4 linked regions of the Tamandua tetradactyla genome follow. The protein of the gene in region 4 purifies or fractionates together with the protein of the main gene of each other region. This does not show direct contact. Links are inferred from orthologs where the notes say so. Each region holds a gene or a part of one and is shown on either strand. Other genes may lie near its edges. The genes, in order: NUP133, NUP50, TNPO1 and NUP153.

Evidence for each region.
Region 1: the proteins of NUP153 (region 4) and NUP133 purify together in Homo sapiens (co-immunoprecipitation; 3 studies listed by BioGRID and IntAct, with this or other methods). This does not show direct contact. The link is inferred for Tamandua tetradactyla from reciprocal best matches to the Homo sapiens genes NUP153 and NUP133.
Region 2: the proteins of NUP153 (region 4) and NUP50 purify together in Homo sapiens (affinity purification with mass spectrometry; 8 studies listed by BioGRID and IntAct, counting the BioPlex papers as one, with this or other methods). This does not show direct contact. The link is inferred for Tamandua tetradactyla from reciprocal best matches to the Homo sapiens genes NUP153 and NUP50.
Region 3: the proteins of NUP153 (region 4) and TNPO1 purify together in Homo sapiens (co-immunoprecipitation; 3 studies listed by BioGRID and IntAct, with this or other methods). This does not show direct contact. The link is inferred for Tamandua tetradactyla from reciprocal best matches to the Homo sapiens genes NUP153 and TNPO1.

The regions. Positions count from the first base shown.
Region 1 is NC_135328.1:153,880,855-153,888,488, reverse strand, and holds the start of NUP133 (nuclear pore complex protein Nup133), read left to right. Parts: upstream 1-4,631; 5' UTR 4,632-4,697; coding exon 4,698-4,879; intron 4,880-6,563; coding exon 6,564-6,682; intron 6,683-7,634. UniProt on the Homo sapiens protein: Involved in poly(A)+ RNA transport. Involved in nephrogenesis.
Region 2 is NC_135333.1:39,470,013-39,477,880, reverse strand, and holds the start of NUP50 (nuclear pore complex protein Nup50), read right to left. Parts: upstream 3,020-7,868; 5' UTR 2,612-3,019; intron 2,370-2,611; exon of another isoform or gene 2,195-2,369; intron 2,169-2,194; exon of another isoform or gene 1,276-2,168; intron 534-1,275; exon of another isoform or gene 496-533; intron 22-495; 5' UTR 12-21; coding exon 1-11. UniProt on the Homo sapiens protein: Component of the nuclear pore complex that has a direct role in nuclear protein import. Actively displaces NLSs from importin-alpha, and facilitates disassembly of the importin-alpha:beta-cargo complex and importin recycling.
Region 3 is NC_135347.1:59,848,175-59,855,455, reverse strand, and holds the start of TNPO1 (transportin-1), read left to right. Parts: upstream 1-4,270; 5' UTR 4,271-4,388; coding exon 4,389-4,403; intron 4,404-4,846; exon of another isoform or gene 4,847-4,959; intron 4,960-7,281. UniProt on the Homo sapiens protein: Functions in nuclear protein import as nuclear transport receptor. Serves as receptor for nuclear localization signals (NLS) in cargo substrates.
Region 4 is NC_135351.1:20,802,393-20,809,391, forward strand, and holds the start of NUP153 (nuclear pore complex protein Nup153), read right to left. Parts: upstream 3,018-6,999; 5' UTR 2,746-3,017; coding exon 2,632-2,745; intron 1-2,631. UniProt on the Homo sapiens protein: Component of the nuclear pore complex (NPC), a complex required for the trafficking across the nuclear envelope. Functions as a scaffolding element in the nuclear phase of the NPC essential for normal nucleocytoplasmic transport of proteins and mRNAs.

The sequences.
Region 1 (7,634 bases), on a different chromosome or scaffold from region 4:
AATCAGTCATTCAAAAGCTTCCCAAAAAGAAAAGTCCAGGACCAGATGGCTTCACATGTGAATTCTACCAAACATTCCAGAAAGAATTAGTACCAACTCTGCTCAAACTCTTCAAAATAATCGAAGCGGAGGGAAAGCTACCTAATTCATTCTATGAAGCCAACATCACCCTCATACCAAAACCAGGCAAAGATATTACAAAAAAAGAAAACTACAGACCGATCTCTCTAATGAATATAGATGCAAAAATCCTCAACAAAATTCTAGCAAATCGAATCCAGCAACACATTAAAAGAATTATACATCATGACCAAGTAGGATTCATCCCAGGTATGCAAGGATGGTTCAACATAAGAAAATCAATTAATGTAATACACCATATCAACAAATCAAAGCAGAAAAATCACATGATCATCTCAATTGATGCAGAGAAGGCATTTGACAAGATTCAACATCCTTTCGTGTTGAAAACACTTCAAAGGATAGGAATACAAGGGAACTTCCTTAATATGATAGAGGGAATATATGAAAAACCCACAGCTAATATCATCCTCAATGGGGAAAAATTGAAAACTTTACCCCTAAGATCAGGAACAAGACAAGGATGTCCACTATCACCACCATTATTCAACATCGTGTTGGAGGTTCTAGCCAGAGCAATTAGACAAGAAAAAGAAATACAAGGCATCAAAATTGGAAAGGAAGAAGTAAAACTATCACTGTTTGCAGACGATATGATACTATACGTCGAAAACCCGGAAAAATCCACAACAAAACTACTAGAGCTAATAAATGAGTACAGCAAAGTAGCAGGTTACAAGATTAACATTCAAAAATCTGTAGTGTTTCTATACACTAGCAATGAACAAGCTGAGGGGGATATCAAGAAACGAATTCCATTTATAATTGCAACTAAAAGAATAAAATACTTAGGAATAAATTTAACTAAAGAGACAAAAAACCTATATAAAGAAAACTACAAAAAACTGCTAAAAGAAATCACAGAAGACCTAAATAGATGGAAGGGCATACCGTGTTCATGGATTGGAAGACTAAATATAGTTAAGATGTCAATCCTACCTAAATTGATTTACAGATTCAATGCAATACCAATCAAAATCCCAACAACTTATTTTTCAGAAATAGAAAAACCAATAGGCAAATTTATCTGGAAGGGCAGGGTGCCCCGAATTGCTAAAAGTATCTTGAGGAAAAAAACCAAGCTGGAGGTCTCACGCTGCCTGACTTTAAGGCATATTATGAAGCCACAGTGATCAAAACAGCATGGTACTGGCATAAAGATAGATATATCGACCAATGGAATCGAATAGAGTGCTCAGATATAGACCCTCTCATCTATGGACATTTGATCTTTGATAAGGCAGTCAAGCCAACTCACCTGGGACAGAACAGTCTCTTCAATAAATGGTGCCTAGAGAACTGGATACCCATATGCAAAAGAATGAAAGAGGACCCGTATCTCACACCCTATACAAAAGTTAACTCAAAATGGATCAAAGATCTAAACATTAGGTCTAAGACCATAAAACAGTTAGAGGAAAATGTAGGGAGATATCTTATGAATCTTACAATTGGAGGCGGTTTTATGGACCTTAAACCTAAAGCAAGAGCACTGAAGAAAGAAATAAATAAATGGGAGCTCCTCAAAATTAAACACTTTTGTGCATCAAAGAACTTCATCAAGAAAGTAGAAAAACAGCCTACACAATGGGAGACAATATTTGGAAACGACATATCAGATAAAGGTCTAGTATCCAGAATTTATAAAGAGACTGTTCAACACAACAACAAAAAGACGGCCAATCCAATTACAAAATGGGAAAAAGACTTGAACAGACAGCTCTCAGAAGAGGAAATACAAATGGCCAAAAGGCACATGAAGAGATGCTCAATGTCCCTGGCCATTAGAGAAATGCAAATCAAAACCACAATAAGATATCATCTCACACCCACCAGAATGGCCATTATCAACAAAACAGAAAATGACAAGTGCTGGAGAGGATGCGGAGAAAGAGGCACACTTATCCACTGTTGGTGGGAATGTCAAATGGTGCAACCACTGTGGAAGGCAGTTTGGCGGTTCCTCAAAAAGCTGAATATAGAATTGCCATACGACCCAGCAATACCATTGCTAGGTATCTACTCAGAGGACTTAAGGGCAAAGACACAAACGGACATTTGCACACCAATGTTTATAGCAGCATTATTTACAATTGCAAAGGGATGGAAACAGCCAAAATGTCCATCAACAGACGAGTGGCTAAACAAACTGTGGTATATACATACGATAGAATATTATGCAGCTTGGAAGACAGAATAAACTTATGAAGCATGTAATAACATGGATGGACCTAGAGAACATTATGCTGAATGAGACTAGCCAAAAACTAAAGGACAAATACTGTATGGTCCCACTGATGTGAACCGACATTAGAGAATAAACTTGGAATATGTCATTGGTAACAGAGACCATCAGGAGTTAGAAATAGGGTAAGATAATGGGTAACTGGAGCTGAAGGGATACAGACTGTGCAACAGGACTGGATACAAAAACTCAAAAATGGACAGCACAATACTACCTAATTGTAATGTAATTATGTTAAAACACTGAATGAAGCTGCATCTGAGCTATAGTTTTTTTTGTTCTTTTTGTTTTGTTTTGTTTTTATATATATTTTTTGTATTTTTATTTTTATTTTTTTCTCTATATTATCATTTTATTTCTTTTTCTGTTGTCTTGCTATTTCTTTTTCTAAATCGATGCAAATGTACTAAGAAATGATGATCATACATCTATGTGATGATATTAAGAATTACTGATTGTATATGTAGAATGGAATGATTTCTAAATGTTGTGTTAGTTAATTTTTTTAATTAATGAAAAAAAAATAAAATAAAAATATTATGAATCTATATACAGACAGAAACCAAGGGGGCAAAGAAGAAAGGGATATCTAACTCTGTGGAAGTCTTTCCGGCGGCAGTAGCACTGAATGAAGACTTGATGTGTGGTTAGAGGCTTACCTAGCCAACAGGGGTAAGGAGAGAGGGAAGGCATGCCAAGTGAAAGGAATATGTGCAAATACATTGGAGGGGTGAGATGGAAACTCTTACGTATTTTTTTTTCCGGAAGGAATATGCACTGCAAGTGGAAAGGGAATGAAGTGGAGTCAGACGTACGAGCCAGCAAGAGTTAAATCACAAAGGACCTTGTAAAGGAGCTTGCCAAATTACCTGTGGGCAACAAATGGTCAGCTACTGAAGCAGTTTCATGCCCAAGAACAACATCCAATATACCTTATGTTGGGACCTATATCACATACCCTATAAAAGGCATATTCAAGTCTTAGTCTGTGCCCCCATGGGTGTGAACTCATTTGTAAATAGGACTTTTGAAGATATTATTAATTAAAGTCTGTACACATTTGTGAATAGGATCTTCGAAGATCCCTATTTAGATGAAGAAAAATTGAATCAGGGTGAGACTTACCCTGATGAGTCCATATAAGCAAAGGAAACTTGTATACAGTGGGTAGAGGAATCCAGAAGTCAGAAGATAGAAAACGAAGGAGATTGCCATTTGACAAAGGCAGATATGAAATTCAAGGAACCCCAAGGATTGCCACAAGCAGCACCGGAATACCACAAACAGTATCTGGGAGGAAGCATGGCCTATGGAGATCTCGATTTTGTATTTTTAGCATTAAAAACCATGAGACAATAAATACTCTGTTTAAGTTAACCCATTGTGTGGTATTTGTCATAGCAGTGCTAGCAAAGGAAGACACCTTAGTCCACTAATTTAGCAATGTGGAGGATGGAGTGGAGTAAGAGCAGGCAGAGGCAAAGAAACTCAAAAAGAGATTATTGCTATGGTCTAGGGAAAAGGTGAGTGCGTGAACAGGGCAGAGGTAGTGCAGCTGTGTGAGATGTGCTAGATGTACTCCAGAGCTACAAAGGACCAGGATGTTGTCGTGAAGATAAGTTTGAGGATGACTTTAGGATATAGCCCTTATTTTTACCTTGGACAACTGACCAGTTTACTAAGCTGGAAAATACATGATAGGAGGATGAGAGTCCTAAAAGAAAGCATGAATTCAGTTTTAACAAGTGAATAGTAAGGAGTCTGCAGGATATCCAGGTGAAAATGTCCACTATGAAGTTGACAGATGTCTTTGTTTTTTTTTTTAAATCAGGATCTGCCTTAGAAATATGTATTCGTGGCGTGAATAGTGTGGATGAGACAGTCCAAACAGAAAGAGAAATGACAAAATGGGAAAAGAACAAATAAAATATTGTGTGAAACCTGCGTTAGGTTTACCATCGCCCCTTTCCATTTCTCTGGCTCAGGAAAGATCAGAGGGAGAAGTGGCTTCGCGTCAAGCGGCTAGAGCGTCAACACCGCCTATGTGAGTCGGGAAGGCCCCCTGGTTTTCCAGCTTCATTTCCCTGGAAAGTCAAGACTACTGCTTGGACCAGAAGCTCCGGAGGCGCCAACCCCGCCCATTCTCCTCCAGCGGCTGCAGCTCCGCCCACGCCCCGCGGGTTGTGCGCTGGGCCTGACGTCATCACCGTGCGCTCTCGACCTTCAAGCTCCGCGCGCGCGCCGCGAGCCTGCGCCGCGAGTCTGCCCCTCGGCCGGGAAACCGCGCGCTCCGCCGTCACTCCCTCGCATCATGTTCCCGGGCGTCCCCTCCCCGCGGACCCCTGGTCCAGGGTCCCGAAGGGGCCCGCTCGGCGGAGTCGGGCCGGCCTCCACGCCCCGGGTGCTCAGCAGGAAGGGCCTGACCCTGGGGTCTGGAATGAGCTCTCCTGTGCTCTTCTCACCGGTCGGCCGGCGAAGCTCGCTGAGCTCACGGTAAGTGATTCCTCCCTCGTTGGGTCCGACGAGAGGCAGACTCAGAGGCTTCGGTAGGCCTAGTGGGGGAGTCTCCCGAAGCCTCTGGAAACGTTGGGAGGGAGGTGGGGGCGGGGGTGCCAAATTTTGGGGAAAATAAATATCCGCTACCCTTGCGGGTTATTCCAGCTTCACCTCGATTGACTCGTCATTTGAATCCTCGCTTTGCGCTTTTCGTGGGATTATCTTTGTGCGGAAAGAATCAACAAGCTGGATTTGAATCGGTGCCACTTCCCCTCTTCTTACCAACCCTGTAATGTAGAATAAGTCACTCGTGATTCTCCTCAACTGAAATGGCGCTAATACCTGACCTACAGTCAGTCTCCCTCACTAAGGCCAGAGGACTCGATAAGAAACGCCTGGATGCAGTTGTTAAGTGATGGTGGTAGTAAGGACCTCCTACCCTAGAACGTCATTATGTAATGCCGAACATACTAAGGCATTAGTATCTGCTGATTGGTAATTAAAGGACGTTTAGCTACAAAAGTTCCCTTTGTAGTTAAATTAACAGAGAAAAGACCTTCTACGGTGGGATAAGAATGGTAGTTTTGTAACCAATAAGAAGTGCGAAGCAGCAGTCCATATCACTGGTAAAAGTATGCCTCAACCCACCCATGTTCACAATACTCAGAACTTTAGAAGGTAGGTAACATCTGTTTCTGAGTAGTTTCCTCTGATCCACCCATCAAAAATGAGTTTTCCCTTGCGAGAAATAACGGTATTACTGTGCCTTAAACTTACAGTTATAATGTATTTATACAGTTTTGCAGTATTTTAAAGGAGAAATGAATTTGAAAGAATGCACTGTATCCTTGGCTTTTGCATTTTGAAGAGTGCTCTTAAAAGTGCTGATGCTCTTGTCAGTGTTTTATGTTCCTTTTGAGAGAAGTAAAAGAATAAAAGCCATAGTTTTCTTTTTCAATTCCTTACTATGGTTTTAAAATTTCTTACCTTCTGGTGGCCATTCAAAGAAAAACCTTGTTACAATACTTCTGTTAGGAAATACAGCTCTATATGTGTAACTCCTCGTTAAGTCCTCTTGATAAATTTGAGGGTAACTTTTATATGGTGGCTTTACATTATTATTCTGAATGTGAAGAAGAAAATGAGAAAGGAATGTAATGTCTACTTCTATACCTATTATTAAAGGCTAGGTTAGAGCAGATGGTCATGACTCTGTTTTCTTGTTTGGTTGCACAGAGCTGGTAGATTTCTTAGATTTCAAGAGCTGAACAAGAGCTTAAGTATGACCGACCCCTATGTTTGTAAATGTTTTCAACCATAACATGTGATTAAACTCTGAAATTTTATATGCTAGTTTTTCAAAAATGTTAAGACCCTCAAAATGACTTGCAGTTTGAGAAACACTTATCTAGCCCAATCTTGTTATTTTCTAGATAAGGAATCAGTTATAAAAAGAGGCATGCATTTACTAGAGTATGAGTCTAAAGCCAATTTTCCCCAAATCCCTCCATTTTCAATGAATGATATATTTAATCACACAAGTATACGTAGGTCAGTGTTCTTTCCACTGTCACCTCTCTTCTTGTGTAATAAAGATCTTTTTATTATGAAATTATATATACGAGGTATGATAATGAAAAATTTAAATTATGAGTGCTGTTACAATGTCTCTTTTCTTTAGAGGAACACCTACACGAATGTTCTTACACCACTCTGTAACTGAGACTATGAACTATGATGTGAAAACTTTTGGCTCTTCTCTCCCTGTGAAAGTTATGGAAGCCCTAACATTGGCTGAAGGTTGGTATCATCTTCCCATTTGCCTCAGTTAGCAATTCAAAATGGAATTTAGCCTTTAGGAAAATGCAGATCAAACCCATCCTAAAATAACACTTCATACTCTCTAGAAAGGCATTTATTAAGAAATGGAAAGTAGCATGTGAGGACTGTGAGAAATAGAAACTCTCCTACATTGTCGGTGGGAATATAAAATCAAGCAGCCTGTGGTAAACAGCTTGGCAGTGTCTCAAAAAGTTAAACATCCACTTCTAGGTATATGCCCCAAAAGAACTGAAAGCAGCACCTCAGATATTGGTACGCCAATGGAGATGGTGGCATTATTCACAATAACAAAAGGTATAAGGAACCCAAGTGCCCATCTACAGATGACTGGATAAACAAATGTGCTATATACATTCCTGTAAAAAGTGAAGTTTTGATATGTAGATGAACATGGGTGAATGTTAAAGACATGAAGGACAGATATATGATTTCATTTAAATGAAATAACTAGAATATGCAAATCCATTCATAGAGAAAGAACATCTGTATAGGTAGGGGGCATGTAATCAAGTTATTGCTTATTGGGTGCAAAGTTTCTGTTTGGGGTGATGGAAAAGTTTTGGTAGTGGATAATGGTAATGGTAGCACAACATTGTGAATGTAATTTAAGCCACTGAATTGTTAGATTTGCAAGTGGTTAAAATGGCAAATTTTATATTGTATATATCTTACCACAGTTTTTTTTGTTTTGTTTTAATTTTTTAAGATGGTTTTTTAAAAAATGATGCCTAGGGTTGGCATGTGGATTGAAATTTTTGCTTTCTCTAGTATACCTGAGAGATATACCTAAATGGGGAGATATAGTCAGCTTATTTGACTTTTCAGTATAATTGAGAAGTATCATAAATTTGAGAAGCTGGATGAGTTCATTCTAACACAATCAGATTAAGTCTTTATTAGTTTCAAGTGC
Region 2 (7,868 bases), on a different chromosome or scaffold from region 4:
CTTTTCGCCATTTTTTCAAACCTAAGTGGTAGAAAACAAAAAGTTCATTTTTCTACACCAATGTGTATATAACTCTTAAAAATAAGTTTTTAAATGTACTACAGCAAAAAACAAGATATAACCATTCCTGATATCAGTGGAAACTCCTTCAAAGAGAACTTTATGACAGTATTGTTAGGATCTTGGTATTACAAATCCACCAGAGAGTTTTGCTAGGAGGCAGTAGAAGTCTCCTAAGTGGAAGTCAGTAAGAATACTGGAATTCTTACTGAACACAAAAACAACCATTTGGAAAAATTCATGAAACACTGATTTTTAAAAGTCTGGAATATAAGCACTATATATAACCAATTAAGGGCTGACCTAACTCATTCTATGCAAATTACATTTATAGTCCCGTAGGCAAAACATTTTTAATATTTGAAATTCTCTTTAAAATGATGCATTAAAAAAGTTCATTCTCAGGTAAGAATTTTAATAAGGCTCTGGGAATACCTTCACAACATGAGCACTCTTCTTTAGGCTTGAGATAGCTGATAAGAAATAGGATTGAACAATTAACCACTCCAAATTATATATTGTTAAGCTAAGTTCAAAATATGATTACTGTGGATATCTTAATATCTGAGACTTTACAACCATTTAAAGACACACACACACACACACACACACACAACAAAAAAACCCACACTACTTTCCCATTTCCTCTGCGACACCCGTCAGACAGGAACTTATCACTTATTTTTGGAGATATGATTACTATGGATATCTTAATATCTGAGACTTTACAACCATTTAAAGACACACACACACACACAACAAAAAAACCCACACTACTTTCCCATTTGTTCTGCTACACCCGTCAGCCAGGAACTTATCACTTATTTTTGGACACTTGCCAAGGCTTCTGAAACCTACTTGGACTTCTTGATAGTCTTTCCCCACCCTCATCTGCCTTCAACATCACAACATACCAGACTAGACACTCACAAATTTACACATCACTTACTGCTCTCTAGCATCTATAAAATGTAATTCAAACACCAGCATTTGCAGATCGACCCTGGTAGAGTGGTTATATATGGGGTCTTTCTACTTTCAATAATATCCTAATAATCTTTGAATTTTTCTTTTACAATTTTAAAGTCAAAGATTCTAAAATAAATATATTTCGCAACCGCCATTACCTGGGAATCCTTTATCATGCCTTCCTGAAAACATATGGCTAAGTTTTGCTATTAACCTCTGTCATCCAAACAAAAACAAACACAGTACCTGTAGATATAATCCCTTACAACTCATTCAGAGGTCAAGTGCCTGAGTGGAATCTTCTGTCCTTCTCCTATCTAACACCTAATATCTAACTAACCACTGGACAGAAAAAAAGTGAACTGGAAATGGTCATTATTGCTATTAGAGATTAACCGTGGGTAAAAAGGAGGGGTAGTTAAAAGGTAAAAGCCGCAAATGGAGAATTTTTAACTTCTAGCTAGGAAAGAGAGTGCCTGGCTCATAGTAGGTGTTCGATGTGTTGCTGAACTGCAAACCTAAGATATTACATAGTTGAGAAATACTACAAGATGCTAGCATCCTGGTTTTGACATTTCATAGCTGTGAGTTAATTAAGTTACTTAATTTTTATCCCTCGGTTTTTCCATCTATAAAATGAGAAAGATCGCTTCTGAAAATTAAACGAAAAGAGTTTAGTTCAGAATAGCGCCTGGAACATAATAATAAACGGTTATTAAATTAAACAAACAAGTTTTGTTAAAAGACATAAATCTCTGTAAAGCATCTTGAACAAGGCCTGATACTATTAAGTCTGATGTACCTGTTAAGGGTAAAAATGCACAAAATGATTAAACTATTGCTAGAGGTATGAAACAATGTGAAAAGAAACTGAAACTAAGTAACTGGAGAAAACTTCCATTATTTGTGCCTAATAAGTTTATATCGTGGCCTCTGCTACCTGGTGCAGCACAGCCCTTGGGGCTGAATTTCAAGATGAAAAACACAAACATGACCATATTCATTTGTTAGGTATTTGGAGGAAGACGAAAAGAACCCGGGGGCGGACAAAGGAGACAAACACCAGGGGAAAAACTAAACCTCTGACTGCTTCTCAATGGAAACGAGTAAAGGGATGGCCCGGACAGGCAGTTAAGAAAGCGAGGCCAGGCGAAAGAGGACTAACGAGAACAGAGGGGAGATGAAAACCGCGGAATGAAGTACTGAGAGTACAGCAAGGTGCTGAAAAGAGAAGGCCACGACAGGGACACCCAGGCCCACTCTGGCCTCCCATCTCCGCCGCGCCGCAGGGGCCCCGCGCCGGGGTGCGTCTTATCTCAGCCGGACACCGCGGTCCCGGCAAGTCGGTTCCGGTCCCGGCTTCACAAACAGCTATCGGCTGCGTCGCTGCTGTCATCCTGCCCCACCCTCCCCGGCTTCCCCGTCTCGCCCCGCCCCGCCCGGCGACAGTCTGTAGGCCGGACCCTGCACCCCGGTCTAGTCCCGGTGCTCTTCCCTCGTCCATTTCCCCTTTCTCAAACCGGCCTCCCGTATCCTGGACCTGCACCCCGGCTCCCGCCCTCGGCGCCATTCCCTCACGTACGGACTTCTCACCTCCCCAGAGGCCGCTAGAGCACTGGCTATGTTGTGGGGGAAGCGAAGACCAGCAGGTTCGAGGTGGCGGTCGCGGCGCTGGGGTCGAGGCGGCGGCTGTTGCCCAGCCGAGCGCTCTTGGTCGCTTCCGGTTTGCTGAAAGCCTCGAAGAATTTCGAGATCAGCAAGCTTAGACTCTCAAATATCATGTCCCCTTGGGTCCTCGTCTCTCTGTGCTCGGGATTGAGGGGGACGAGCTGTCGGCTTAGCCAGAAACTGCTGGGGTACTAGCGGCGAACACGTTCCAAGCCGCCATCTTGTAGCTACAATCTACCCCTCTAACGAATTCGAAAAAACAAGGAGGAAAGAAACGCCCGCGTCCAACTACTGCGCAAGCGCACCAGAGCGTTCGGCGGCAGCGCCTACTTTACTGGCAGTGGCGTCACAAGGCGCATGCCAGGAGGAGAGCGCGCGGCGTACGCATGCCCGCGCAAGCGCGCCGCTCTCCCCCGGGGGGAAGGGGCCAACGCTCGCGGCGTGTCCGTGCGTGCGTTAGTTGCTTGGCAGTCGCAGTCGGCGATTGAGGAGGTTCTGGCTTTAGTCGCTGTAGTTGGAACGACGGGGTTGGGGACCTGCGAGGAGTTCGCGAGAGGATGGTCAATCAGTGAGCGCGACCGAGACGCATGGTGTTTCTTTGACGGGTGCTGGAGGACTGATGAGAGAGAGAAAGGCCGAAGCCTGCGGGAACTACCGGCCTTTCTCCGGGTGAAACGAGTAATGAGGTGAAGTCAGGAAAATTCCACGTCAGGCAGCCTCCACACCACCATGGAATTCCTTCCGGAACATACCAGACGTGGCCCTGCTGCGATTACCAGGAACTTGGGCATGGCGGGAATAAGTGAAGGCTTGGAATGTCGGAGTTTAGCGGGCTGTGTGTATAAGTCATCTGCTCCAGCCTCCTGGTTCATGGAGAGTAAACGGACCCACCCATTGTCAGTCAGTTATTTTTATTTTCTGCTTTAGGTGCCATAGAGATCAAGTAACTTGCTTAGAATTGCACAGCTAGTTAAGATTGGCAAAATAACTTTTCATGCAACTTGGCATATCATAGCTTTATTGAGGGGCTCGGGAATCAGGTAGAATCCCGATCAGAAGGTAGAAGGAAGCTCCCCCGAGGAGGTGGAAGGGAGAAGCTCATATAGGGCCAATGCGGAAGCAAATGAGGAAACGTTGATTGGCTGTACATTGTTTCCATTTAGGGGTTGGCTGTTATACAAAATGGGGAGGAGGTGGGTTGCTTAGGAGTGAATAATGAAGAAATTCGTCAGTGATAACTCATCAGCTGTATTTAAGTTTGGTTTTCTGGGCGAGCCGTGCTTTTACAGGTTATAGAAACTAGCGTCGGTTTTTTATTTTACTGTTGTGGTGGTTCACATGGGCGCCTCCGTGTTGGGCCTTGTAGATTTTATCAAACTCAAGGAAGATGAAATCTGCAAACATCCTTTTAAACTATCCAGTGGGAGGACTTCTGTTATCGTGCTTTGGTTTCAGTTTTTCATTTTCAAACCATTATAGGTTAAGTCATGAAAAGCAATTTTGTCCATTTCTCCTTGTTTTAACGGCTAGAGGAGAATATTAACCATAAGACACTATGGGAAGTGAGACCCATTACTAACTAATTAGGAAATTTGCTTTAGGAAAGGAACTTGCATATTTAGAGCAGCGTTTTTTAAACTTTTTTGGGGAAGGAGGAGGTTTATAGATATATTGAGAAGTCAAAAAAATTGGCATGTAGAAGGCCAATTTCAGTGTAATTTCAGGATGTTTAGGAATCCTCCCTAAAAGCCCATTTTTGACCCTGTATCAAGAACTCTAGTTACTAAATGTATATAAAAGGTAAAAAAAAAAAAAAAGCCCCTACATTTGACATTTAGGGATAAAGTCAAGCTTATTCCCTAGCAATACGTTTACTATCCCTAAGGACAAGAAATCTGAAACGTCTGTTTTGACAGATTTGTTTTTTTTGAGCATAGATGTAAAAAGAAATATCCAACAGGGAGCTGTATTATTTTGTATATTTTTATTTCAACAGATCTTTCACACTGTCATTGTGAATTGAGTGTAAAACTAGCAGAAAAACTATAACCAGAGACTGTTTTGACTAACAGCATATGACGAAGGGGGAGGTCTTTAGTGGTATGCTCTGTTCTTAACCTGGTCAGTGTTTTTGAGTATAGACTCCTCACAAAAATAGGATATGACTTCACTGGTGAGTGACAGAGCCCAGCTCTCACCTCCAGCCCAGTGTTCTTTCCACGTGCTCTTACAACAGACATTGGATGCCTAGCATGGCCTCCCCCCCCCCCACACACACACTCCCAGATTGATGGTACCCAGCTATCTTTTTCAGCATATGTCACCCTTTAGAGACTACTCTAAAACCTCACTTAAACCTTCCTAGCTGCTTTTGTCTCCCAGGCCCACACAGCAGGCAGTCTCACCTCTTGCACCACAAAAAAGAGGCAGTCACAAACTTTAGCATCTCTGCTCCAAACCTACCAATTTATCTTTCTCCTCACCCAGTTTCATTTTCAGCCACTAATATCCCAAGAACCTAGCATAGTTCTTAGTACAAAGTAGACATTCATGTATTTGCCAAATGAAGGAACCTTTCCTTTTCTCCATTGAGAGAGACATCCTCTTAGACATTTTGAGTTCTTTTCTGGCTGGGTGTGATATTGATCAAAAGTGGGTGTTCTCTGCCCAATGTGATCAAGTTACCAATTCCTGAGACAACAGGGTTAATTTCAAAGAGAGAGAGAGTTTATTGGTAAGCACAAAGCAGGAAACCAGATAGCCTGTCAGCCTTAAAATCCGTCTCCTTGAACTGCAGTTACTGATAGTTTTATGGTTTGAAAAGATGGGCAGGTTTTAGGTAATGGGCATAATGGCTCTAGATGATGTGATTAGAGGTGATCTAATTATTGAGTATGTACAGATTGATTAAAGTTTAAGCTACTACTCATGTCAGGGAGGCCAATTTTTTTTTTTTCTTAGTGAGATTTTACTACTAAGAACAGAAAACCATGTTAAGACTGGCTTTGGTTGCTGTTTTTGGTCCTTTTGCCTTTACTTGAGGCTTACTCTGGAACCCAACCTGACCCTCCCTTTTTGAGGAGGAATTTAACATTCTTTTTATTGTGAAATATAACATTTACACAAAAGGCAATAAATTTCCACACACTTTTTAACTTTGTTTTATAACATAGTTATAGAACAGATTTTAAAGTTTGGTATGGGTTACAGTACTCTCCACCCCACTTTTTTTTATTTAAACTGCTCCTGGACCTCAGGAAATTGAACCGATCTTGCTAACCTTCTCTTTGGCTCTCCAAAGAAGGATTGAAGCTCCCATGCCATCTCCCTTCCCCATGCTCTAACATACTTTGCCTGTGCTCTGGTAACCAGCCCTCTCAGACATAGTGCTCTCAGAACTTGCATCATTGGTCTCTTATAGTCTCAGACTTGCTCTCTGCCCTTTTTTCCTTACTTAATGTTCTGTCCTTTTCTACACTACACTGTTTGGTTTCAAATCCCTAGCAAAATAAACTACAAAAATACAATCACAGCCTTGACAAGTGTTTTGGGGTGTTACATTGATTCCTGAGCTTGAGATTCTAATCCTGATTTTTATAATAGTTCCTGTGGAAAGCCATTTGATGTACTTTTTTTTTTTTGTCTGTAAAGTGGAGATCACAGTGGTCTTTTCTTAAAATATCATTAGACCATTATAATATGTTACACCCTAGAGAACAAACCAGAATTGGTAAAGAGCTGCATCGCTCACACTTTGCGCTTCAGCTGAGCTGACAATGAGCTGAAGTAGCGGCACACAAGATAACGGGCCATGCATGGCTGTGATAACCAATGAGAGAGGCCAATTTTGAGTAGATCCAGCCTGTCTGGTAGGATAGTTGAGGAATTGAGTTAGGTTAGTTCTGAGCTGCCTCAGGTTCCTTCATTAATAAACATCAGGGGACTGTCTTTTGTGATTGTAACACTCTCAGGTTGAAAAACAGGATTGTAGGTATAGATGAGGCCAGTCACAAGGTTTTTGCAATTATAAGATAAAAGGTTATATAGTTTTACAATCATCAGAAATCAAGGCAGCTAGGTTATAGTTCAGTAATTTCAGGCATTTCTGGCTATTGTATTAGAAAGTGAAAAAGAAATACCCATGTAATAATTCAGTAAATCTTAACTTCTCGGTTACAGTACCTTGTGAATCTTCATATTTGGTGCTGTCTGCATGAAGCTCATTCATTCCAAACTGTTGTAGTGCTCTCTTGTAAGTTGAATAAGTTTTGTTTTTAACTGCAAAGTATAATTACTAATTCACTCATATATAATCTTTAGATTGTTACTGTATAAGGGACATTGACTGCTGAGGTTATGGTAGACTTTATGTATTCCACATTGAAATGTGACTTAAGTTAAAATAGCAACTTTTATTCTGACAATAACACAACAGCTTATAGGTTAGGGGAAATAGTGCATTTACTTCTTAATTAAACATTGTAGCATGAGGTAATTGATGCCCTTCTAATGCAAGTAAAAAATAGATTTATGTGTATAATAGCACTTTAGCTGACTAGCACGTTATAGGATGGATTTCAGTGCTTACTAAAATGACAGCTTTAAACTGCCTATAACTCAGCAAAGTGGCGGTTGCATGTAGCCATCTACTGCTGATAGATTTGACTGCTTCCATTTAGTGAGGCTGTTTCTCCCTCATTTTATGAAATAAGCGTCTGAAGGTGTTAGCCAATTTTTATTCCTGAAATCTGTCTTTCAAAAATTCCAGTTTGCCTAACCCCTGAAAACTAAAGGATTTTTATGGTTGTCAACCTGGGTAATTTCATATTCATATTCAGTAAGTAAATATACAGATATATTGATTTACTTATTTTACCTAATTCAAAGTGAGTTCAAGATGATGTAATCGTGCCTTCCATGGCAGGAACCACCATTGTATAGTTTATCCATGTGCTCAAGTCATAACTGTGTCAGAAAATTGAAGCCCAGTTTAACCTAATAAAGTTGCAGAATGTTTGTTGAATTCCAAGTGTTCTCTGGCCTTTGTTTTACCTTTGTAATAGGTGTGTACCTTGAAGTTTGGGTCATTCTCTGTTTGAATTTACCAGAAAGCAACCCAAAAATAGGAAGGCTACAGATCACACTTAGTTCCTGATATTAAGGAATTGAGA
Region 3 (7,281 bases), on a different chromosome or scaffold from region 4:
CCTAGTTCTGGATATGATGAGGAATTTTCAATTGAAACCTGAACTTTTAGGGAATTATGTTATGAGGCTTTGAATCTGTTTAAACTTTGTTTCTGCTGACTTTTTATGATACAGGTCTGGCAGGGGTAGTGGCAGTGGGGTATGCTACCTTGTTGTGCCAGCTTGTGGGGAGAAGTCCAAGCTCATCAGTCTCAGCTGACATTCAAAATGGTGAACTCTGTTACCGCAGGGTGGAAGCAGAAGTCCAGGCTCCCCAAAAGACCTCAGTTGATACACTGATGGGAGGGCGGGCAGTCTCGTTACTGCCTGGTGGGGATAAAAGTCCCAGCTCCCTACTTTTATCCCCAGAGTAGGTGGCTCCCTACTCTGCCACCACCCTGGTTTGGGGATGGGGAGAGAGGTAGGGCAGGGCAGGATCACTGGGGTGCTTTGTTACAGCCTGGTGGGGGTGTAAGTCCAGGCTCTCCACTAAGCTTTTGCTAGCATGGGTAGTATGGTACCTTTTTTTTTCCCAGTGGTGTTTGGCCACAGCAGAGCAGTTCTTATCTAAGAGTTTTCTGCTCTTTCTAGTACTCAGGCTAGAGAAAGTAGGCTTTCTTTCGGGCATTTTGCCTATGCCATTTTGGCTGACTTCTTCATCTCTACGTCTAGTAAAAATGAAGCAAAAGAAAACCCTGGGAACTAACCACCTTGGGTCCCAAAGTCCCTAATTGATCTGTTTTCCTCTCTACTTTTCAGAGTTTTCTCATTTTTATTTTACACGTAATGTCCAAGGACTTAGATACACTTTGTGGAAAGAAAAATGTGTCCACTCCATCTTCCCAGAAGCAGTAGTCTATGTAGACTTTTACATAAATAAAATTTATTTTTATCCTTAGGAGGTATTAATTATAATTATAGGAAGTTCAAAGATAACCTTTCCCAGTTAATACTTTATCTTTTTTATATATATTGGGTTTGCCTTGAATGAGAAATACCTGTAGATTAGCTACAGATTTCTCAATAGTGACCATAAAACTGTACTCTTCCAAAATTTGGATTAAGTCCTTCTAAATAATTAAATTTTTTTCCTTAATGCCAGTCTGAAGATATTTCAGTGAGAATGCAGTTCTTTAAACTGTATAATGTTATGAAGAATAGAATAAGAAATCCCATTTCTTTCCAGAAGGATAAAATGGAAAAAATATTTCTCAGAAGTATTCTGTTTTAGAAGCTTACCTGTACCTTAAAAGATTATTTCACTTCTCTCACTGAGTTTTTCCTTACTCACCACTTTCCTATTAAATATATTTATTTAAAATGTTTTGGGCTCCCAGACCTATCTTTTATTCAATAAACATTCCTTCTCAGTAAAACATTTGTTCTTTTATATGGTATATTAATATCTAGTAATACAATCATTTATTGCCCTCTAACTATCTGCCATTCTGCTAATGAGCTCTTTACATACTTATCTTATTTAATCCCACATAAGACAAGGAAAGCGAAGCTCAAAAAGACTGGGCCAACAATGCTCATAAGTGGTAAAGCCAGCATATGCACATAGGTCCTCGCCCTCCAAACTTCATGCTTTTTTTCTTTTTTGACAATGCTACATCTGACAGAATGAGTATCTTTTTCTTCCTAGGTGAAACCTTTGAGGTTTGTTTTCTTCCTTAAATTGTATTTTGTAATATCTACCATTCTTTGATATTCACCTAATAAAAAAATTTTAACACATAAATTAAAAACACATGTATAACAGGTTTTGAGGTTAAAAGAAAAGTTTAACTATTTTAAATTTCAGCATGTTATTTAAAAATACCAACAATTTCTTCAAAATTTTATCTCATGTGCATTTTGTATATATGTGGGTATACAGAGAAAAACTACCAGATATCTGCTATGTCATATGCAAACTGCGCAAGGAGAAAATAACTGAAAAAGTAAAATACAATAAGCTATATTAATAAATCCTTGTTAACAGTAAAAAGATTCACTACTTAAAACGAGTTTTGAATTTAACCTAGCAGAAACATATAAACTCTACATGTCTAAACATCTTTATTCTTAAACACAAAACTATTTTATAAAGCATTTTAATTCAATTTCATAAAAGAATGGATATTCAATTTAATCTCAATTTCACAATTGGCAATCCGATTTTTTTCCTTTCAAAAGATTTTGGCCAATAAGTGTTCCACATATGCTAAACTTAAAAAAATTCATTTAAATTATTTCACAACTATTAATCATGTGAATTCCTTACTAACTGCTTGTCTGTAGTTCTTTGCATCTTAAGTTATTCGCTACGCCTCTACATTTTTAAAGCATTTCTACTGCTTTTCTTCAGGAAACTAGAATGCAGAGACCATACACCCCCCTGATTTGTACAGATCATGCGCTCTCTTCCACAGTGTAACTTTCCAAATGCAGAAATGTCATGTTTGTATTTGGATAAATAAACTTATTGTTGGTAATACCCTGCAGATACAATAAATTACCATTTCCCAAGGTTCACATTAAACTTTTTTTCGTAGTCGTCTATTCTTATTTGTGGGAGGGTCTTTTTAATGTATTCGCCTACTACCAAATTAACCTCAGAAAACACTGAAATCTGACATTTTTCAGTTATTTAAAATATTTTTTTCTCGCTATGTTCAATTTCCTAGTGATAATATTGGTCCTTTTTCTTGTAAATTTAAGTTAAACTAATTGTCCCTACAAAATGACTCGTTGCAAATGAGAATTATTCAGAAGTTGCTTAACAAATAAGCTCTTTAGGTGAAAATTGAAAACGCTTTCCGTCCTGGGCAGCGCGGGTGCCCAGCACCGCTGCAGCCCTCCGCGGCGCGGGGCGGGGTCGGGCCGGGGTCCTGCGGGCGGCCGAGGCGCAGGGGTCCGCGCGCCGTCGGGTGGGGGCCGAGCCCACGCCCCTCTGCGCGTTACCACGGGCTTCAAAGAGCAGCGCGCGCCCACGCTCGCCACGTCGAATCCCTTTCTGCTGGGAAGAGAGAAGACTTGGCTCCTCTCTCGGGAGGGCCGCGAAGGGGGCAAGAGCGCCTCCCTTCCACGCGCAGGAAGCTGCGGCCTCACGTGCACACACCGGAGCTGCGCGGCTCAGGTGGAAGAGTCGCTTCACCTTACGCTGGAAGCGGCCTCCACGCCGAGCGGCCCGCCACCTCCGCCCGCCTCCCCGCAGCCGGCCTGCTCGTCCCCACCCGCCCTGGGGCGCGGCGCGGGAGGCAGCATGTTCCGTGCGGAGGACGGGCGGAGTGCGGGTCGCTTCTGGGGTCTAGACGGCAGTCTGGGGTGGGGGTCATCCTTGTGGGCGCCCCGCCCGGCCCACACTTCCCGGGCCTTGACGCTCGCGGGCCCACCGCGCAGGGCAGCGTCCGGAGGCTGCGGCAGGCCGTGAGGGGCGCGGGCAGCCCCCGGCGGGGACGCGAGCTGCAGAGGAGCCTCACCGCGCAGGCCCCGCAGGCCCCGCAGGCCTAGGCAGCGCTCAGCCCGCGCCCCGCCCCGCCGCGCCCCATCCCCGCGGAAGCCCCGCCGCGCCCCGCCCCATCCCCGGGCAAGCCCCGCAGGTCCCGGCAGCGCTCAGCCCGCGCCCCGTCCCGTCCCGCCCCGCCGCGCCCCGCCCCACCCCATCCCGCGCAAGCCCCGCAGGTCCAGGCAGCGCTCAGCCCGCGCCCCGCCCCACGCCGCGCCTCGCCCCGCCCCGCGCCTCACCGCTTAGGCCCCACAGGCCCACGCAGCGCTCCGCTCAGCCCCGCCCAGGCCCATGCCCGCGCAGGCCCCGCAGGCCCAGGCAGCGCTCAGCCCGCGCCCCGCCCCACGCCGCGCCTCGCCCCGCCCCGCCCCACCCCGCCCCGCGCCTCACCGCTTAGGCCCCACAGGCCCACGCAGCGCTCCGCTCAGCCCCGCCCAGGCCCATCCCCGCGCAGGCCCCGCAGGCCCAGGCAGCGCTCAGCCCACGCCGCGCCGCGCCGCGCCCCGCCCCCCGCCTGGCCCTGCCCCGCGCCTCATCCGCGCAGGCCACGCAGGCCCACGCAGCGCCTTCCTCCGCGCCTGTCCCACCCCGCGCCTCACCGCGCAGGCCCAGGCAGTGCCTCAGCTTGCGCCGCCCCCGCGCCTCACCCGCGGCCTCACCGGACGCCTCACCTCGCGAACCCTCCGCGCCCCCCTCTCCGCGCCTCCCCCGGCGCAGGCCCCGCAGGCCCAGACGGCGATTTCCCAGCCCCGCCGCCGTTGCCAAGGCGACCGCCGCGCACGTTCCCGCGGGGCTCCGCCCCCCGGCCAATCGGACCGGCCGTCGTCCGCGCCCAGGTTCCCTTTGTTCCGCAGCCATTTCTGGGACCCGAGGCTGCGCCGCCGCGGCCGACAGCCCGAGCGCCGGAGCTTCTGGGATGGTGTGGGACCGGGTAGGTGGCGTGGGCGAGCGCGGCCCGGGCTGAGGGCGGGTCGGAGGCCAGCTTCGGGGGCCGCGGGGGGAGGCGCGCCGGGCTGCCTGCCGAGCGCTCTCCCGGCCGTTTGGAGGCGGCGGCGGCGGCGGCGGCGGCGGCGGCGGCGGCGGCGGCGGCGGCGGCGGCGGCGCGGTTCGAAGGCCAACAGCTGCCGGCCGAGCCTCGGTGGGGCCCGGGCCGCGGGCGGCCGCTGCGGTGTCCGAGGGCACGCGGAGCCCGTTAGGGGCGGCGGTGGAGGAGCGTCTGCTCCCGCGGCCCTGGGGACCCTGGGGGCGGCCCGCCGTCGGCGGTGGTCAGCCTTTGTCCCGGCCCGCGGGCCTCGCCGGCCTGCCCCGCGCCGCGCTCCTCTATCTCCAGGCGGGCCTCCCTCCCGGGGGCCTCGGGGCCCTCGACGCGGTTACCTGGTTTTAATAGTGGAGACTGCACAGGCTGTGCGTGGGTCCGTGTGGGGTTTGCATTCCTGCCGCCGCTGGTGCGCGTGCCACACGCAGCAGGAAACAGCTGCCGAGGAGCTCCCGGCTGCGGGAATTGCTTTCCTCCTGGAAGCGTGGCTACGTCTTATTTGTTGATTGATTTTTGAAAAAAAAGCAGGGTTTTACAAGGACTGCTTGTAATACAGGTCCGTTATCTTGACGCTGATCAGTTGGTCCATCAGTAGATTCTAAAATTAGAAATTTAAAGTTGGAGGTGGTGCACTAATTGATTCTTGCAGTTGTATTGAGAAGTTTAGTAATCCTGCGTTGAAGCAGTGATACCTTCAATGATGAGTACATAAGTGGTACCTTTTTTTTCCCCCTAAGGAAAAAATGCTTTTTAAATGCAAGATGTACAGTATAGCCGAGTGCCTGTTAGGTTTGTAAAATGGCTGTCCTGAAGTACCTCAATTTTAGGGTAAAGTTTCTGCTGGGTTTAAGTTTTGCTATTATATCAACCCTTTCATATTAGAATGGCAAAGAAGTTATGCTAGCGAAGCTGGAGAGGATTCATTTTTTGGGAAGCAATTCCGTTTTCTGCTTTCATCTTGCCCCACACCCCAGTTTTGTTGGAGAATGGATGCCCCAAGTTGAAAATTTGCAACTTGAAGAGGGAAGTATTAGTTTGAAGGTACAGATTTCCTTTTTACTACCCAACATACGTGATGCATAAGCACTTGACAATTTGGCATGCAGTTTTTATTCCACATAATTTAAAGTGAGCCTAATGCTCCATTTTCTTTTTCCCAAAGAGGCTCCCACCCTGGATTGGCGTAATATGGTCACATCTTTGAAAGTCTTAGGTATTCAAGGTATTATTAAATTGCTTCCACTGGAAAGTAATCAAATAAATGTATTACCATTATATAATATGAGCAGAATAAAGTTTTGGTTAAAATGTAATATATGATACTGGTTGTAAATATTTCCAATATCAGCATTTATTAATGCATTCATTGTTTTTATAACTGCACTTTTTTCTTATTTATATAATATTAAAGCCATCATATGAACTCAGTTTTTCTAAATGCTGTAAATGAAGTGTATTGAAATATAAATGCCCTATATTTAGAAGAATCTCTTGCACTTAACCATGTTGGAAATAGCAAACTTTTTTTTTAAGAAAATAAATTGGTTATGTAGAAAGCAATGACATATGTAATGAAAAAAATTTTTCAGATGTAAACTGCATAAAGGGGCACAGCAGTAAGCAGGAATTATTTTTATTGCCCAGTGATTAATTTTGAATATTTCCTACTGGAATTGATTTCTTGAATATATCTTGGTGCCACAAAGACACCTACCTGCCAAAAAAACCAAAACAGTTTGGTTTGGTAGTAAAAGGATGAGATTGCTGAGAGAATTAAAAAATTCACTGATAAGGTTTTCAAAGACGGGGGAAAAGAAGTCTCCCAAAGGGAAGGATTGGAAATCTTCTGAAAAGGCTCTACAAAGGGAAACTCCCCAGCTGTTGAGGCTCTTCCTAGTTGGTCCCATTCCACCAGCGCCATGGTAGATATCCCGTGGGCATGTTTGCAGAGGGGTGAGCTTGACGGTGGAAGATAGGAAGTTTGCAGGGTGGTAACTGATTTGTAGTTGTATGGGCTAGTGTAGGAGAAAAGGCGGTCGTGGTTGCTCCAGGCCCTCCCCACTAGGGCTCCTTTAAGTGTGTCAGTAGGTCTAATGGGTAAGGAATGTTAGAGTTCCAGAATTTCAGTGGCTAAATGAGATGTCGGAATAGGAAATAGGGCTGCAGATATGTCTTGGAATTTTCTGGAGTAGATAGAGAACCTAAACAGGAATGGCAGTTACATCTTCTTCCAACATGGCACCCAATGGCGGAGCAAGTATTTGAATTTAGAACTGAGAGAAAACTGATAACTGTTGAAGAGTTCAAGGTTTGGAATGATGTATCCTTTTTTTAATTTAATGGTTAATGTTTAAAAAAAAAAAAACTTCTCAGTAGTTAGGAATAGGACCTCTGGAGCCAGCCTGGGTAAGAATTATGGCACCGCCTCCCTTGACAGTTTGACTTTGGGGAAGTTATTCAATCTCAGTGAGCCTCAGTTTTCTCAGTTCATAATGTTTTGAGGGTTAAGTAAGTTAATACAATAAGCTCTTTGAACTGGGCTTGGCACGTAGTAACCACTCCATAAATTATGACTGTCATTGTAATCATTGTCATCATTATTATTTTAGAAAATTGTAGAAAAGCACTCATAATATCAGGACCAGAGCTAACTACTGTAAGCCTTTTGATTATTTCCTTCCATTATTTGTTCTGTGTTCAGTTTTTACGCAGTTGAGACTTTATGAATAATTTTGTATTCTACTTTTTTCACTAACACCGTAACATTTTCTTA
Region 4 (6,999 bases):
TCAGCTCTAAGCTGATCTAGATCCACAGGTACATTATGGTAAGGTATCATGTTCTCAAAAACTAAACTGTGATTCTCCTTAACCCATATTATTGCCAGCCCCTTCCAACATGAAAAAGTTACAATGGCCATAGCCCAAATACCCCTAAAGAGTGGGGACAGAAAGATCAAAAGTGATGGTGGAGTTATACAGAGAAGGTAGGGCTTAACAATCGAATATGATTGCTGAATCATTAAATTGATATTTCTTTTAGTCTCCAATATCTTACAGGAACTAGAAGTAAAAACCTAAAATTGTGAAATTATAATCCACACCAAACTCTGAAATCTGTTCTACAACTAATGGTGCTGTGCTTTGAAATTTATTGCTTTTTTGTATATGTATTATTTTTCACAAAGAAAAAAAAAAGTCAATTGTGATGACAAAAAAAATATTTATTCCTTCTAGCTTCCTGTGTTCTGGAGCAACTAGAAGGAAAAATCTGAGATGGTGGTATTGTAGTCCACGACAAACTCTGGAATCTGTCCTGTAACTATGTGTTGAACAGTGCTTTGAAAACTATTGTTTTTTTTTTATTTTGTACATATGTTACATTATACAATTTTAAAAAAGTTAAAACGGAAAAAAAAAACCTGCAATAAAATTTTTGCAACGTCCAGCCTTTCAAACTTTGTCCAGACCACCCACTATCTGTATTCAAAACAATTCTTTATATTTATATTTTTATATATATATATATATATATATATATATATATAAAGAATATATACATGTAGTAATTTTCTCTTAAGGGGATCTAAAAAGTACCTGAAGATATTTACTCTTCAAGAGAAACAGAACTCAAGTGTATCAACTTCCATTCTTACAAAAAAGGCTTAGGTTAAATGGTCAGGCTTGTGACCTGAGTGCTAATCTTAAATATGTCTCCAACCACTCTTGTTCTTCACAAAGAATTCTGAAAAAAACAGGCACTTTCTGTAAATATTTAGGGAAAATCTGGAGGGAACTAACAGTCAAGCCTTTTAACAATTAGTAGAAATCGACTTAATGTATAAACCACAATTTTCACTGCTCAAAAATTTAACTCAAATCCTTACTTGTAAAAATCTAGGGTTTTTTAAAGCAGCTTTATTTAAACACCATACAATCTATCCAACCTATACACTGAGTGGCTCTCAGCATCATAAGAGTTGTGCTTTCATCATCACCACAATCAATTTTAGAACATTGTCATGCTCCCAAAAGCAAACTCCCACAGCCCCTATAGTCCCCTATAATTAAAATGGCATTGGTGTGGTACTTCTGTTACAACTGATGGAAAAATATTAAAATATTACTGTTAATGATATCCGTTGGTTTTTAATGATACAATTTAGCCCCACAACGAAAGAATACGTTAAACTGTTCAATATTCATTATCAGCCAGAATAAAACAACCTTGGAAGTCTACCCTTAACAGCATGTAACAATATCTTTACTCTTCCTATTCTATTTTTTTAAACAAGTTTAAAACACTTCCCACTTTAGTGTCATTAGTTTTATGAGTGACTTTATTTAAATAGATTTTTAACATTTTCCTGCTCCACCACCCCACCATGAACAAATAGCACTTAAAAACGGAACTTTCTTAGAATCAAATGTCTTATTTATAATTAAACTAAACTCCTTTTAAAAACGGAACTTTCTTAGAATCAAATGACATTTACAATTAAGCTAAACTCCTTTTCATACTTTCGAACACCCACAAGTACACATGGTGGTTAAATTATAAGACCACCAACATTCCTGGAGTGTCAAAAGTACCTAAACTTCTAGAATACACCCCATAATATTAAAATATTTTGTGCATGAGATCAGTATTGGCGTCGTGGTCAACTGTGGCGAATGGCCAACTCTAGCCTCTAAAATAAAAAAGGCGGGGGGGGGGGGGCGGTATAGAAAAGGGGAGGGAGGGTCACGCAGCGGAGAAAAGACGTATGGGTGGAGAGGGACTTTCAAAATGCCCTAGTGTCACCGTAACTATAAAACGGTTAAGAAAAAGCCAAGCTCTCAGAGCTAGGAGATACGGGCGGGTAAGACTGTGAATTAACGAACGGGTTGAGCTGAAGCCAATCTGTTTTCCAGGTTAACAGCGCCCCCAGCACCCCCTCCTCAGGTGCCCGGCAGACAGACTGCTCGAGGCAGAGCCCTCCCGCGACACACTGTAACGCGGGAGACAAGAAAACAGCACGCGTAAAGGCCTCCGGCCACATTTTTTTCCTTTCTCCCTCAAGAGGCCGTGAGTAATACCATCAAACTCCTAATCCCCGCCAAAAAGAAAAGGAAACGCGCGCATCGCGGAGCTAAAATTTCCTTTCCCGCCCTGCGCAAGCCGGGGGAAGCCCCTGGCCCAGAGGGTAGGGGAGAGGCGGCCCGAGCCACACGTGTGCGCCGCACGGCCGGGCCTGTCTCAACCCACTTCCCGTCACCACCCTAGTGGCCTGCGCTCCCGCCGCCTCACTGGGGGCCTCCTCTGGCCCTCCCGTCCGCTCCACGTGCGGCGAGTGTGGGGTACCGCGGCCCCGCAACGCCCTGTTTACTCCCGCCGAGTCCCCGACCCGCCTGGGCCACCGCGGTTTCGGGGTCGCCTACCTGGTGCTGCTGTCGCCCCTGCGAGTAAGGCTTGGTTGGCCCCTGGTGGCAACGCCGCGTCCGGATCTTGCCGCCGCCGCCGCCCCCTCCTACTCCTCCGGCTCCGGAGGCCATGGCGGAGGCTCCGCCGCTTCCCGCTCCGGGGCGGGTAAGGGGGGCGGGAGAGGCAGAGGCGGCGGCCTTAGAGCCCCCCCCCGCCCGGCCCCGGACCAAATGTCCGCCCGCGCTGCCCACACGGTGAGGTATAGGCACACCAGGGACCTCAAGGTTTCGAGGAGAAGCGGAGCGAAGGTGCGCGCTGGCAGAGGGGGAGGGGGTGGCGGCGGCAGAGACCGAGAAGGTAGATCCAGTCCGGCAGCCTCCCGCGGACCCCCGCCTCTGTGTGTGTCACGGTCTCTATGGAGATCTCCCGTAGAGGACGGCGCGAGCTGCTCCGCACGCTGTTGAGGCCTAACTCGCCCGCCGGCCGGTACGAATTCTTCTTCCGCCGCCCTAGCCGTCGCTGCCGCAGCTGAGGCCGCCGGCGCCGCCCGCCTACCCCTCCCCTCTGCGCACAGCGCCCGCCCCGCCACCGCCGTCGTCCCTGCAGTCGCCGCCGCTCTTGCGCCGATTGCCGCTGCTAAGGCAGCCGCGGCGGTCGCAAGCCAGAACGTCGTCATTCGTCAGCGCCCGACGCCTGTACATCATCACGCTGCGACTGTGCGATAGGCGGGGAGGAAGGAAGCGCTGGTAGAGCCCGCGCTCTCGGCCGCGGCGCACGCTGGGAAACGTAGTTCAGCGGAAGAATGCGGCTTGTCGGCACGGAAGGCGGGGAAGGAGATCAATGCAGCGCAGCACAGGCACCGAGCGAGGGGTCTGTGCCTTTTCCTACAGTTGGTTAGGTTATAAATTTAGACTCCGGAGGGATATGTATATAAAAACAGCAACCTTCCCACTCTATTTCTCGAGCCTCATCAGTTGATTAAACGGGCAGAAAGTCAGCAGGCAGTAAAAGCAAAGACAGAAATTTAATATCTTACAAGAAGTAATAACAGCCTGTGGTTGAAAAAGCAATGTCCATGAACCTTAGGCCTAAAGCAGAATTTGAAAATATATATAGCTTCATTAATGTCCCATTAAACAGGTAAGAGCTTTGTTGTCAAACACTGAAGAGCTGGAATTCTGGATACGCCACTGTCCAGCAGCTGTTTGACCTTGGTTAAATCAGAGCCTTCTCAGCCTTGGCTTCTTCCTTTATAAAATGGGAACTTTAGAATGCACCGTAAGAACTGTTGTGAGAAATTTTTGCGACATTTATATTTATATTAATATATATAAATATTAAATTTATATTTCTGGCATAGAAGAACTGCAATAAATATTAGCTATTAATTACTCGGAGGGCTCACATAACAGGTAAATGGTATATTCTGAGCAAAAAAAAAAAAAAAAATTTGTTCCCGATAAAAAGGCATTTTATTTAGAAGAGTGAATAAGTGAGCTAGGCCCAAAGACCGAATTCACACGACAGTAGCGAGATTCTAGGAGTTGACGGTTAGAAATGGCTTGATGCTCAGGTGGTCCAGCCTTATTCAACAGAAAAGACAGGTTCATAGATTTTGGGTGGCACGTTCAAGGACACAGCTGAGCAGTCAACACCAGGACTAAAATCAAACATTTCTATAAAAGTTGAGACAAGCAGTCAAATGATTAGAGATAAAAAATCTATTGTGAAGAAATATGCAGGTTTAATGTTTCATTTTGAGACCATTGATTTCAAAGCACATAAGTAACTTTGGTATCAAAAAGACTTAGTTTCAAATCTATTACAGTTATAAGTTTTGCACTACAAACTAGCTGTGTAACCTCTGGGAAATTACTGATTCTCTCTCAAAGCTTCGATTTCCTCATCTACAAATAAAATGATTATACATAAAGAATTTATGTATGTAAAATACCTTACTTATAATACATAGAAAGCATTCTAATATCAGCCACGTTGTTAGATACAATTATCTCCATGATTTTTATACAATCTCCACCATCAACCTCAACAATTCCTATCATTATATAAATCACATAAGTGAAATTGTGAAGCCAAACTTACAGTACCTTTGAACTTGTACTACCTTTCAGCACCTAAAGGAACTATGCTGTAACAGACATAGACTTTACAGAGCAAATGGCTTTCAGTGGCACCTCTGACCATAATTACTAAGACTATAAAAAGTTGCCAAATATGAAAAAAAAATAACTTATTTCCTCCTCTGCCCCCTTCTCCTATCTCCTTGCCCCCTTCTACAACTCCCCTCTACACCCCCTTGGTATGTTTGCTCTTCTGCCTGAAGCACCTCATCTTTCTTAAGGTCAATAGTTTTCTCTCAGGCGCTTTTCCTCCCCTAACTTGAAATCTTGTTCTATAGTAAGCCTTCACTAGGTATTTCACAAGCAGGGTATAGTAATTCTTTATAAGCTAACTCACAGAGAGACTCTGAACTCGAATCTCTAATTGGGATACATATATAGGAGAATGAATGTATCCACATTCCATTTTCCCTTTTCACCCTACCAGACTCAAAATTTCCAGCACAGGACAGTGGTCTGGCTAAGGGTCCAAATTCATCCCTTTCCCCTTTCTTTGGAGGCTATCATTTGAAGTGTGGAACAGATTTCACGTTCAAGTGTTCAAAGGAAGGGACATGCAAAATAGCTGGGCCAAACTTGGATGAAACTTCAGAAGGTTGATGGGATTTGAGCTGTGGAGAAATCCACATACCCCTTCAGCCTTGCTCTCCATTGCTTACCCTGTTGCGTATTTGTTTTATCTTTGGACTAAGCTGCATTCAAAACTTCCCACTGCAGAATTTTACCCTGAAATAGTATCAGCCTCATTAAGGGATGAAGTAACTTCTTGTGCATGGTTTGGAATTCTAAAATAACATTGTTTCTGTGCTGCAATGTAGTCTGGAGTTACGAATCACCAACTCATACATTTTTGGAACACAGATTGCACTTCAGTTAGAAACTACTAGGAGTAGCATAGTTCATAATAAATTCTTCTGATTTTAAAACTTTAAGGAAAATTAAAGATTCTGCTTGCATTCAAACATACAAACAAAATTTTTACATTTCTGTAAGAGATACTATATATAAATTGAAAGAAAAAAAACACCAACTGCCAGGGAGCAATAAGAGGGGGTCCTTGAAATCCTCCCAGACATATCAGAAATTAACAAGTTTTTGAAGAAGGGAATACTTATTACTTCATAGTTATGATTAAGCACTTCGTACAGATGACTGAATTCCTAAACCAAATGAGATAATTTTACTTCATGTTACAAAATCGTAAGCTACATTTATAAATTTTTTACCATGAACTGCTGTTGCTTTTTTGGTTATCCTTTTCCTTCCATTAATAACCTCTATTCCAATGAGTCCTTAGGCCTAAACAACATTGGGATGACTCTGAGAAGTGGTTCTAAATTTTGGGTTGTTTCATTGACTATACTTTAATAGAAACTCATTCCCCCTCCCTGCCCCTAGATTTTGTTGTTGTTTTTTGGCATGGGCAGGCATTAGGAATCGAACCTGGGTCTCTGGCATGGCAGGCGAGAACTCTGCCTGCTGAACCACTGTTGCACCACCTCCCTGCCCCCTAGATTTTAAGCTTCAAGAGATAAGGATTTTTTGCCCACAGCTCTGTCCTCAGCACGGAAAACAAATAGCAGTCACATTCTATATACTATAACTTTTTAACCCAATCAATACCCAATTATTACCAATACCAATTGCTTCCATTTTTAATTGTAATAAACATGCAGTGATGAATACAGCTTGACTAGTTTACCTAATCTTTCCTGACCTGAATGTATTCCTTTTCTAAGCTGTGTTACAAATTCATATTTCTAGAATTTACTTATTTGGTATTCATGATACAGCAAGATGAGCATCATGTGTGAATCCCTATGATAATGTTATATGAGATTCTTAGGTAATCCTACCAATCCTGAGAGGAATTATTATACTCATTTTACAGATGAGGAAACTGAGGCACTAAGGAGATTAAAAAAATAATTGAAAAAAATCACAGAGCTAATGAGTGGCAGAGCTGATATTTGAAATGATTTCTCTCTTCCTTATCCCAAAGACCTCACTCTTGCCTTTGCCATCACTGTGCTTTTCTTGTAGCCAATTTCGGAACCCTCTATGATGGTTTAAGCCTGTATTTCCCCAGAAAACCATGTTCTTAAATCTAATCCATTCTTGTGGGTGTGAACCTTTTGATGAGATTACTTCAGTTAAGTTGTGACACACATAACCCCCCTCATTCAGGGTAAGTCTTAATCCTATTACTAGAATCCTTTATAAAATAATGAAATTTAGACAGAA